Macaca fascicularis: one gene and its partners. The protein of the gene in region 3 purifies or fractionates together with the protein of the main gene of each other region. This does not show direct contact. Links are inferred from orthologs where the notes say so. Each region holds a gene or a part of one and is shown on either strand. Other genes may lie near its edges. The genes, in order: MAGED2, NAP1L5 and NAP1L1.

Region 1 (3,752 bases), on a different chromosome or scaffold from region 3:
TGATGATTTGTCTACTTCCTATTATTTTACATCTTATTTTGTTTTCTTGAATAGATCCAATTGCTTATGTGAATTTATTATGTGATAGAGGTGCCATTTCAAAGCAGAGAGGGAAAAGATGGATTAGTTTGCACATGATGTAGGGGTAAGAGACTATGATTTTGGAGAGTAATCAAGCTGAATCCGTATAGAAAATAAATTTTGAAATGATCAAACATCTAAATGTAAATAATAAAGCCACAAAAGTGCTTCAAGGAAAAAAAAACGGGGATTGTTATAGGAACATGAAAAGCATCTTTAAGCAAGCAGCAGGATCCAGTTGTGATGAAGGAAAAATGGATATATTTGACTACATAATAATTAAACATTTTTGTTTGGCAAAAATTATCATAAATAACATGAAAAATATTTGTAATATGTGACACGTACACGAGAGACATTGCTGGTGGGAACGTTATTCCATGTACTTTTTAGGAGTAAGTTGACAAATTTTGTATCTTTTGTTATCAAAATGGAAGACGTTTTTGTAGCATTTGAGCTAGCAAAAAATACCCTAAATAAAAAAAAAGTGCCCCAAACAATCTAAATGTACATGTGTGCTGGACTGGTTCAATAAATTATGGGACATCTATACAAGAAAAGATCATGCAACTGTTTAGAAAAATGTGCACTAACGGAAAGATTTTTTATATATAACTGGAAAAAAACAGGTCGCAGAACAGAAGGTATGTATAGTGTACCATTTGTCGGAGAGAGAACCTGAATAATTAGTATACGAATAGAAAAAAAATCTGGATAGCAAAATGTTAATAGTGGTTATTTCTGGGAGATAAGAGTGGCCTTTCATTGGTATGTTATATATTACTGCATTGTTTTAATTTTTACAACAACAACAACAAAACAACAACATATTACCTTTGTAATAAGAAAAAATGAAGATATAAAAAGAAATTCAATGAATGACTTTCTTTCGGGGGCGGTTTGGGTTGGAAGAGTTTCAGACTGAGCCTGGTACAGTGGCATAAACATGGGCTTTGGCGTCAGACAGCCCTGAGCAGGGCCCCATTGCCCCACCCCCGAGGAAGGCGAGGGGGGGTGGCAGGGGGCTGCGGAAAGGGGCTGGGCTGGGTTGGGCTGTCTGCAGCTCTAGTCCAGGAGGCTGAGACTTCGAGAGGGACTTAGAGAAGGCAGACGCATCCCGAACTCGCTGGAGGACAAGGTGAGGTGCGTTGAGATTGGGGTTTTATGGAGGTCATAGAGTGGTTCCAGACCCCTCGAACCCATAGCCAGGCAGATGAGCAATTCTTACTGCACCACTGCAGCTGAAGCAGAGGTGACCTGGAGTGGTGTGTAGGCAATGAGGACGACTGAGAAAGTGGTAGGCTGTATAGACTGGGAGCAGAGACGAGCGGAGGAGGAGGGGAGAAAAACGGGGAACCAGGAATGTTGGGAGGGGGACGAGGAATACAAGGAGGGAGGGGAACACTAAGGGGGAGTGATCCAGAGAAGAGAATGGGGATGCAGAGAGAGGTTAAGGAATACTGAGGGGCAGGGTGTGCAATCGTAACACGGAGGAGGATGTAAGGAATGGGAAGAGGGAATTCTGGAGTAAATAGAAAATGTGAGGTGGGAATAGGGAGTAAGGAGCCAGGCTAAGGGAATACGGAGGGGGGCATAAGGAATGAGGAGCAGGGAGCGGGGGAGGGGCAGACAGGCTGGGACGGAGGCCCCCTAGGGAGGCGGAAAGGGGCGGGACCACTTCCGGCCTAGAGAAGGGAGGGCAGTCTCTGAGTTTCGGAGGGGCTTGGAGTGAGTGGACGCTCTCGGGAATTGTAGGAGGACGAGGTGAGCAGCCGGGCGGGCTTTTGGATGAGAGCCCCGCTAGGGGTCGGCCGCACCCTCTGGGATCTGGAGAAAACCTGTCATGAGGATCGGATCGTACCGGATCCATCCGGCTGGGAAGGGAGGGGACTGGACCCGGTTTGACCGGGCCCAAGATGGAATCACTAGCTTAATATTTATTTGAGGAGGGGGTGTAATAGGGAAGGGGCGGAACCAAGATGCGCCTGTTTGGAGGGGGGCGTGTTAGGAAGAAGGGCGGGGCCAAGAGACACTGGACTCGGTAGGGCGTGAGTAGGGGAGGGGCCGGGCCCACCAGACACTGCGACAATTTTGGAGGAAGGCTTCTTGGGCAGGGGGCGGGACCGAATGGTACTGCGGACCTGGAGAGGGGCGTGTGTCGGGGCAGAGTGCCAGACTGAGACCACGATCATTGCGCATGCGCACTATGTATCGCTGAAAGGGGCGTGTTGAGAAGGGCCAGCACTGAGACGAGCCAGCTGCTGAATGCGCATGTGCACGGTGGACATCAAAGAAAGGGCTCGTGCTGGGAAAGCGGGCGGGGCTGAGAGCGGCCCTGCAGCCGACGCGCATGCGCTCTATCGACCTGCGGCTGGGTGGGGGGTGCACTGGGAAAAGGGGCGGGGTCCTCAGAGCTGCCGCGCTGGCACATCTTCCTGGAGAAGGGGAGGGTGCGGCTGCAGACAATTGAGACTTAGAAGCTTTGGATTCCTGTATCTGAGAACGGAGTCGTTGTGGGTGGTGGAGGGGGTTGGAATTGGGGACCTACGGAAGGTAAGGATCAGCCTCCAGGCACAACAGGGGAGAGGACGTTCAGTGGGCTTCAACTTGACCCAGGCCTTCTCCTCTTCAGGCTCAGCTCTTGCCAGGCCAAATTGAGACATGTCTGACACAAGCGAGAGTGGTGCGGGTCTAACTAGCTTCCAGGTAAGGCCTCTTTCTGTCCTTTCCCCAGCTGCTTTTCCTCTCCAGCCCTTGTTGCTGCCCTAAGTCCCTTGGCTCTTCTCCTCCCATCCTTGTCCTTCTCCACCTACTTTCCTGCCTGGGTGTCCCCCTGCCCAGTGGAGGGAGGGAGAGAAGGTGGGCGGGCCCCTCTTCTGCCTTCAGTTCTTGCTCAGAGGAAAGGGAGGCCTTGTTCGGCTGAGGTGGTCAGAGCACACCGCAGGTACGAGTACAGGTCAGAGAAGTGTGGCCTTGGAATTTTGGAACCATTTGCTTAGTTGGGGGTGGGGAGAAGGTCTGTGAACTTCCCTGCTTCCTCTTGCAGGCTGAAGCTTCAGAAAAGGACAGTAGCTCGATGATGCAGACTCTATTGACAGTGACCCAGAATGTGGAGGTCCCAGAGACACCGAAGGCCTCAAAGGCACCGGAGGTCTCAGAGGATGTGAAGGTCTCAAAAACCTCTGGGGTCTCAAAGGCCACAGAGGTCTCAAAGACCCCAGAGGCTCAGGAGGCACCTGCCACCCAGGCCTCATCTACTACTCAGCTGACTGATACCCAGGTTCTGGCAGCTGAAAACAAGAGTCTAGCAGCTGACACCAAGAAACAGAATGCTGACCCGCAGGCTGTGACAATGCCTGCCACCGAGACCAAAAAGGTCAGCTGTGTGGCTGATACGAAGGTCAATACTAAGGCCCAGGAGACTGAGGCTGCTGCCTCTCAGGCCCCAGCAGATGAACCTGAGCCTGAGAGTGCAGCTGCCCAGTCTCAGGAGAATCAGGATACTCGGCCCAAGGTCAAAGCCAAGAAAGCCCGAAAGGTAAGACCTCTGCAGTCACCACCCTTCGTTTTCTACTCCTCTCCTCTCAGTTGGTTCATTTGTTCTACAAACATTTCGAAAGATCCCTGTGCTCATCAGGGCTGTGGGGGGCACTGAAAGTAATGTGATGTAA
Region 2 (3,487 bases), on a different chromosome or scaffold from region 3:
CCAGTTTTTTTAAAAAACTCTGCTTCATTCAGAATGAAGCAAACAAAGTTGAAATAGCCTTTTTTGTATATTTTTAATGTTATATTGAAGTCTTTTATCCTTTCTGGGAGATAATAAAAACTTGATATTATGTTGAGGAAACCAAAACAAGATAGTTTATTTAATTTCCTGTGTTTCTGAATTAAAGGCCACATTCTTCTCTCATAATAAGGAATCAGAAACATGGGAAGGCATTGATGTAGTGATGTCCATTTCTCCCATTTTGTAACAGGAGAGAAGGAGGATTGAATTTCCAATCACTGTCTTTATCTTTCATGTAATAATAATAGCTAAGAATTATTCAGCGCTTACCATGGTTTGGATGCTATTCTATAGGCGTTATATGCATTAATCCATTTGCTCTTCATAGTAACCCATGAGGAAGGGACTATTCCTATTCCCTTTTGTAGATGAGGAGAAATTGAGCACTGAGAGTATTAGCTGAGTTGCCTAAGGTACATTACTAATAGGAGGCAGAGCTGGGATTTGAATACAGGCAGTCAGAGTACCGAGACTTTTATATATATTTTTTTGAAAATACTGTTTTATTAACACCACAGTGGTAAACATCTTTAAGCTTATGTTTCTTTATAGATCACTGGCTCACACATAATTCAAAACCCACACAGAAGCTAAGAGTCTTTACATTAAATATATTCTTCCTAAAAATCCTTACTGTATGCGTCTGTCCTCAAGCAGTAAAATTTGATTATGCACCATTTTATAATATGTCACATTTACATAGCAAAATAATGAAGGCACAGCTAATACAAGCAAACTTAAATCCTTTCTACTTCTGAGCTGGGGGTAGGGGCACACACTTGGATTGGTTCTTCAAGTATATATTTTTTCCAAACATTAGCTTCAGTGAAGAGTTCTGATGATTTTCACAGCTACACCCTAAAAGCTACATGACAGAAAGACGTCACAAGGATCAAAGTACATAACACTGGATACACATGCTTTACAGAATTTGCTACATTCTACATCTCTTCAAGTAAATTAATATTTCTAAAACACTAGGTAAAGTGATTTAATACTTAAACATATTTGGGGTATTTTTTACGTCTTTGTAAATAGACACTACTAAGAAAACACAAACATGAGATTGTAACTAATGAATACATATGTTGACAGTATTTTACAGGTTTTACACCCTCCTTCTTGGAACCATGTTATTCTCTAAATTCAAATACTCAAACATTTTTCAGAACTTGAAATGGCAGTTTTCCTGGCCTTATTAACAGTAGTGTCATGATCTCCATTGCAGTCTTCCTCAGTGCCATCAATCTCCTGTGAAGTGTAAAGCTGATGTCTGCGTTACAAAAGCAAAGTCTCAAAGATGACGTTTTTCTTGGGGTCTGCCTTCTCTGCACAGCGAAATGTCATGAGTAAAGAAATTTAAGAATTAAGCACTGAAAACGTGTTCAGTCATGGCCTGGGTGTTCCATGTGTAGCGTATGCTGTGTTATGAATGGGTTTCAAAGTGACGTTCTTTACTTCGCATCTACTAACACCCTTTGTAAACCTCAATCCTCATAGAAGAGACCATGAAAACATAATTTTGGGTTTAATTCGGTTTTCTTTAACACCTTTTGATATATTTATTATGTTCAAAATGAAAAATTTGAATCGAGCTGGCCAGGATCTAATTGCTTCAATTTAATCTATTTTAGGAATGTCAGAATAAATTCACATTGTATTTTGGTCAAAAACCTGAGCCTTTTTAAGTCCACCAATATTCTGGGAAAAACAAAACCAAGCTGTTTTCTTCGTGGGCTTTCTCTTCATCCATCTCTGCCCCCCTTACTTCTTGGCGTCATCAGGCATCTCGGCGTGGGCATCGTCATGTTTGGCCCCCGCGGCAGCCTCTGCTGCAGCATCCTCCTCCTCCTCCTCTTCCCCCTCCTCCTCGTCATCCTCGTACTCCTCTTCCTCCTCCTCCTCCCCCTCCAAGGTCCATGCACACCCCTCCATCTCGCCGGTGAGCTCTTGGATCTTGGCGAGTAGGGGCTTATATATGTCATTATACTTTCTTTCCAGAGCCTGAAATTCCTTATCAAATTTGGCTTCTATCTTATCGCATCGCTTCTGCAGCTTTTTGAGGGCCAGGACTCGGCATTTCACCGAATTAGGCAGGCTCTCGATAAAGTCATTTTTCGGCTTTGGGGCATTCTCTGCAGGGGTCTGGGGCTCCTCAGCCATCTGACCAGCCGCGCTGTCAGGGTCTCCAGCCGCGCTGTCACAGTCTCCACCCTGCGCACCGCCTTCCGCCATTACCTCCTCCGCCGCTGCCTCCGCCGCTGCCGCCGCCTGGCTAGGCTCCGCAGGCCCCTGGTTTTCCGAGTCGGCCATGTTAGAGGAGAAGCCGCAGAGGTCTAGGAGGGATCCCGCAGAGGCCCTGCACCCGAGCTGGTCCAGAGAGATCTTGCGGATGCGGCAAGTGGCGGTGACGCGCGGCCGCGGGAATGACGTCGGCCGCGGCCCCGCCCCCTGCTTTTGCGGCACTTGACTGGCTCCCCACTATCAGCTGACGGCCGTGCGCTCATACTGCACCAGATTCCTCCTGTTGCTACCCTGACGTCTCCTGGGCCCTCAACACCAGCCTGTTGGACAGACACCCTGTTCCCAGCCCACCCATGTACCCACCTCCTGTAGAGCTGGGCTGGGAGTGTCAGTGGCTGCCCGAGGTGCTGCTTCAGGAACTGCGTAGATGGCCTCAGCCCGTTTTCCGTGTGCTCCTCACCCCCATCCAGGCCCTTCTACAAATGCTAGTACATATGTCTTCGCTTACCTCTGCATCTCTCTCCATAGCTGGCATTTGATCACCTCTTAGATTCCTCCACATTCCTCTCCAGGCAGTGGAGGAACGGGCAAGCTGGCTCCATTCTACCCTTTTGGGGACCTGGGGAGCATATGTGTGGATAGGGCAGCTTGCATATCCAAGCTCTGTACCCGTGTGTCCACCCAACACCCCCTTGGCCATCCCACACACCTGGCGACACATACCCTGGTGGCAAGGTTGTCTCTCAGCAGGACCCCCCTGGAAGCAGTTTTGGAGTCATTTGGGTAGGAAATCTCAGAGCTCCCAGTGTCCTGGTGTGTGTTCTAGAAGGTTCTACAGAATCTTTGGCCTGTGGGAAGTACTAAAGCTTGAGGAGGGCTGAAAAAAACAAGTCTCTCTAAAGCATGGGGCCCAGGGCCAAGGCCCCCTCTTATCTTGGTTAAAGCGTGTGCCATCTATCCCACCCTGCTCACTTTCGTCTTCCCGGGCTTCCCCCAACACCATCTGCTTTCCTGCCTTCCCCATTATCTGTTTTCACACCTTTCCTTGCCACCATCTTCTCCCTCCCTCCTGCCCCTCCCCCGCACTGTGTTATGCCCCACCTTCTGCCCATCTTCTTCCCCCCTTCTTCCCCACTCACTGCCTTCTTCCTCACCTTCTCTC
Region 3 (3,269 bases):
CAATGGCCGTTTAGCAATAAACATATCCAAAACATCTATATGCAGCCTAATCTTAACCTAATCATCACTCAATACTACCTTGAATAGAAATTCTATGCCTCCCAGTAAATGTTTTCTTGTGCACTAAGAAAAGTCCTAGTTCTGTGAAGTCAAGGCAAGGGCATAATACATCTATAGCACTAACCAAACATAAAAAAGTTTCACAAACTCAGAACAATCTTATTAGCAGAGAATCAAAAGCTAAATGAATCCAAAAATCCTAAGGAGACATACTGAAAACCCAGAAAAGCTATATCCAGAACATCAGTAATTAGCCTAATTTTGAATTATATTATGTCCTGTTTCTTAAAAACTAAACTCATCTATTACCAATTCTGACCACCATACCCTCACCCAATTATTTCTTTGCAGGATTCAAATTCACTTACATCATCATCATCATCTTCAATAGCTTCTCCAGTAAAATATAACACTGATCTCGGGATTATACGCTCACGTAAAAAGTGACCAATTTCGAAGTCTGCAGCAAGGATAGCTTCAGCATCATCATCCTATTTTTAAAGGAAAACAAAAGCAGAAAATTTAGGAATAACTGTGTTACTTAACGTGGCAATGTAAGACTCTTAGAGGCTGGGTGTTATGGCTCACACCGGTAGTCCCAACACTTCAGGAGGCCAAAGTAGGAGGATCACTTGAGCCCAGAAGTTCGAGAGCAGCCTAGGCAACACAGTGAGACCCCCACGTCTCTACAAAAAATAAACAATTAGCTGGGCAGGGTGGCACATGCCTGTAGTCTCAGCTACTTGAGAGGCTGAGGTGGGAGGATTGCTGCAGCCCAGCAGCTTGAGGCCGAAATGAGCTGTGATCGCACCACTGCACTCTAGCCTGGGCAACCGGGAAAAAAAACAAAAAACAAAACAAACAAAAAAAAAACCTCTTCAGTTTAAATTACATGATGAAGGAAAGAAATGCTCAACTTTACTTTCCATGATTTTTCTCACACCATATTAACAAACAATTTGTCATTTTTAAATTTCCTTAATAACTTTTCCAAGTTTTTAACAAAAAGAAAAGCTAGCAGGCCAGTATGCATACTAAGAAATTGTGAAGAATAAAAAATTAGAACTGTTTACTTAGTTTTTGCTGGTTTAAACAGAAATACACAAAAGCAATTGTTACATATGTCTGCAATTTTCCTTTGCCCCTAGCACTTTGCTTTTTTAGAGACAGGGTCTCGCTATGTTGCCCAGGCTGGTCTCATGTGATCCTTCCACCTCCGCCACCAGAGCCGCTGGGACTACAGGTGCCTGAAGCTGTACCTGGCTTAGGATTTCTATTTAATGGCAAAGCACAGGGTAAAAGTGGGTCTGGCATTATTTACAATTAAAATAATTCCACTTCGGCAGGGTGTGGTGGCTAGCGCCTGTAATCCTAGCACTTTGGGAGGCCAAGGCAGGCGGATTACCTGAGGTCAGGAGTTCAAGACTAGCCTGGCCAACATAGTGAAACCCCATCTCTACTAAAAATACAAAAAATTAGCAGGTTCAGTGGTGCGCGCCTGTAATCCCAGCTACTTGGGAGGCTGAGACAGGAGAACTGCCTGAACCCAGGAGACAGAGGTTCCGGTGAGTGGAGATTGCGCCACTGCACTCCAGCCTGGACAACAGAGCCATATTCCATCTCAATAATAATAATAATAAAATAAATAATCTCACTTTAAGTTCTATGATACTAAACAATGAGCACGCCCTCTGTGAATTCCATGAATGTTTGAGTCAACAACATAATCTAATAAATAAAAAAGTCCAAAAAGGGGGTGGGGAGGAATTCAAACCACAGGTGGAGGTTTTCTATCCTTAACTAGACTGTTTTGTCATCATCAATATTTAGTAACAAAAAAAAAAATAGAACTTGAATACAAACTCCAACACATCCACTGATACGAAAATAGTGTGATGCTCTATCTTTAGTACTAAAGTAGTTTTTCTCACCTGAAACTCAACACTGCTTTATGTTCTCTTTTTTTTGTCCTATAAGCCAAGCCAGAAATACTTACTTTTGCCTTTTACAGATTTGTTCTAAGCCTTAGCCAAGAGTATTCCAATTCAAAAGTATTCAATTAAGGTTAATTTCTAATTCCATATATGGACAAACTATTTAAACTATCTCAGTTAATTTAAATTCAAAAACATGCCCAAAAGAAAACCAAATTCAAAACATACCTGCCATACCTTGCGTGTATAGACTTTAAGGTTGTTCTTCAGTTCAGGCTATATGGCAGGAACATTTCATGGTTCTCTGCCATATGCCATATATATGAACATACATAGTCACAATATGAAATCATATTTACATTGGGGTAACAAATTCAGGAATGCATTCTAACCATAATGTAGTTAGGAATATAACAGTATAAATGACTTAATACATTCTGGTTTTACTAAGGAAGACAATAGTTTTGAAAAGTTAAATCTCAGCCGGGCGCGGTGACTCAAGCCTGTAGTCCCAGCACTTTGGGAGGCCAAGACGGGCGGATCACGAGGTTAGGAGATCGAGACCATCCTGGCTAACACGGTGAAACCCCATCTCTACTAAAAAATACAAAAAACTAGCCGGGCGAGGTGGCGGGCGCCTGTAGTCCCAGCTACTTGGGAGACTGAGGCAGGAGAATGGTGTAAACTCGGGAGGCGGAGCTTGCAGTGAGCTGAGATCCGGCCACTGCACTCCAGCCTGGGCCACAGAGCGAGACTCCGTCTCAAAAAAAAAAAAAAAAAAGAAAGAAAAGAAAGAAAAGTTAAATCTCTCACAGCTTTGTAAGTTTCAAAAGAAAAGAAAACCTTAAGCTTTTTATCTCAGTGTTTCTCAGTAGAGGCACTGATATCATTCTGAATGGAATTACTTTTCAGATCCAAAATGTCTGCCCCATGCATTGTAGGCCTCAGAACTCAATGTAACAACCATCCCACTCTCCACTTGAAATTCGGTGCTTTAATTTCAAATATAGTTAACAATTCAATAAATAAATAACAATTCAACTTACCAGATCTCCACTCTCAGGAACTGCAAAATTCAGAAAAGAAATTACAATGAATAAGAAGCTAAACAACGCTTATTATAAAATAACCACTAATACTCACGCTAAAACATTATTTACCTTCAGGAGGGGCAAAAAAATTAAAGAAAGAGTCATTGGAAACTGTTTTAGTCACAGTACGAACTGTCCCACGTCCCTTGTGTTTCTGCTTCTTCTTAATGGTTTTCAAAGTGAC

What was found.
Region 1: the proteins of NAP1L1 (region 3) and MAGED2 purify together in Homo sapiens (affinity purification with mass spectrometry; 4 studies listed by BioGRID and IntAct, counting the BioPlex papers as one, with this or other methods). This does not show direct contact. The link is inferred for Macaca fascicularis from reciprocal best matches to the Homo sapiens genes NAP1L1 and MAGED2.
Region 2: the proteins of NAP1L1 (region 3) and NAP1L5 purify together in Homo sapiens (affinity purification with mass spectrometry; 3 studies listed by BioGRID and IntAct, counting the BioPlex papers as one, with this or other methods). This does not show direct contact. The link is inferred for Macaca fascicularis from reciprocal best matches to the Homo sapiens genes NAP1L1 and NAP1L5.

Annotation. Positions count from the first base shown.
Region 1 is NC_088395.1:54,796,830-54,800,581, forward strand, and holds the start of MAGED2 (melanoma-associated antigen D2), read left to right. Parts: upstream 1-1,161; 5' UTR 1,162-1,224; intron 1,225-1,789; exon of another isoform or gene 1,790-1,845; intron 1,846-2,482; exon of another isoform or gene 2,483-2,634; intron 2,635-2,713; 5' UTR 2,714-2,742; coding exon 2,743-2,787; intron 2,788-3,127; coding exon 3,128-3,619; intron 3,620-3,752. UniProt on the Homo sapiens protein: Regulates the expression, localization to the plasma membrane and function of the sodium chloride cotransporters SLC12A1 and SLC12A3, two key components of salt reabsorption in the distal renal tubule.
Region 2 is NC_088379.1:94,243,552-94,247,038, forward strand, and holds NAP1L5 (nucleosome assembly protein 1-like 5), read right to left. Parts: upstream 2,478-3,487; 5' UTR 2,395-2,477; coding exon 1,846-2,394; 3' UTR 566-1,845; downstream 1-565.
Region 3 is NC_088385.1:82,887,759-82,891,027, forward strand, and holds part of NAP1L1 (nucleosome assembly protein 1-like 1), read right to left. Parts: coding exon 3,155-3,269; intron 3,061-3,154; coding exon 3,041-3,060; intron 552-3,040; coding exon 429-551; intron 1-428. UniProt on the Homo sapiens protein: Histone chaperone that plays a role in the nuclear import of H2A-H2B and nucleosome assembly.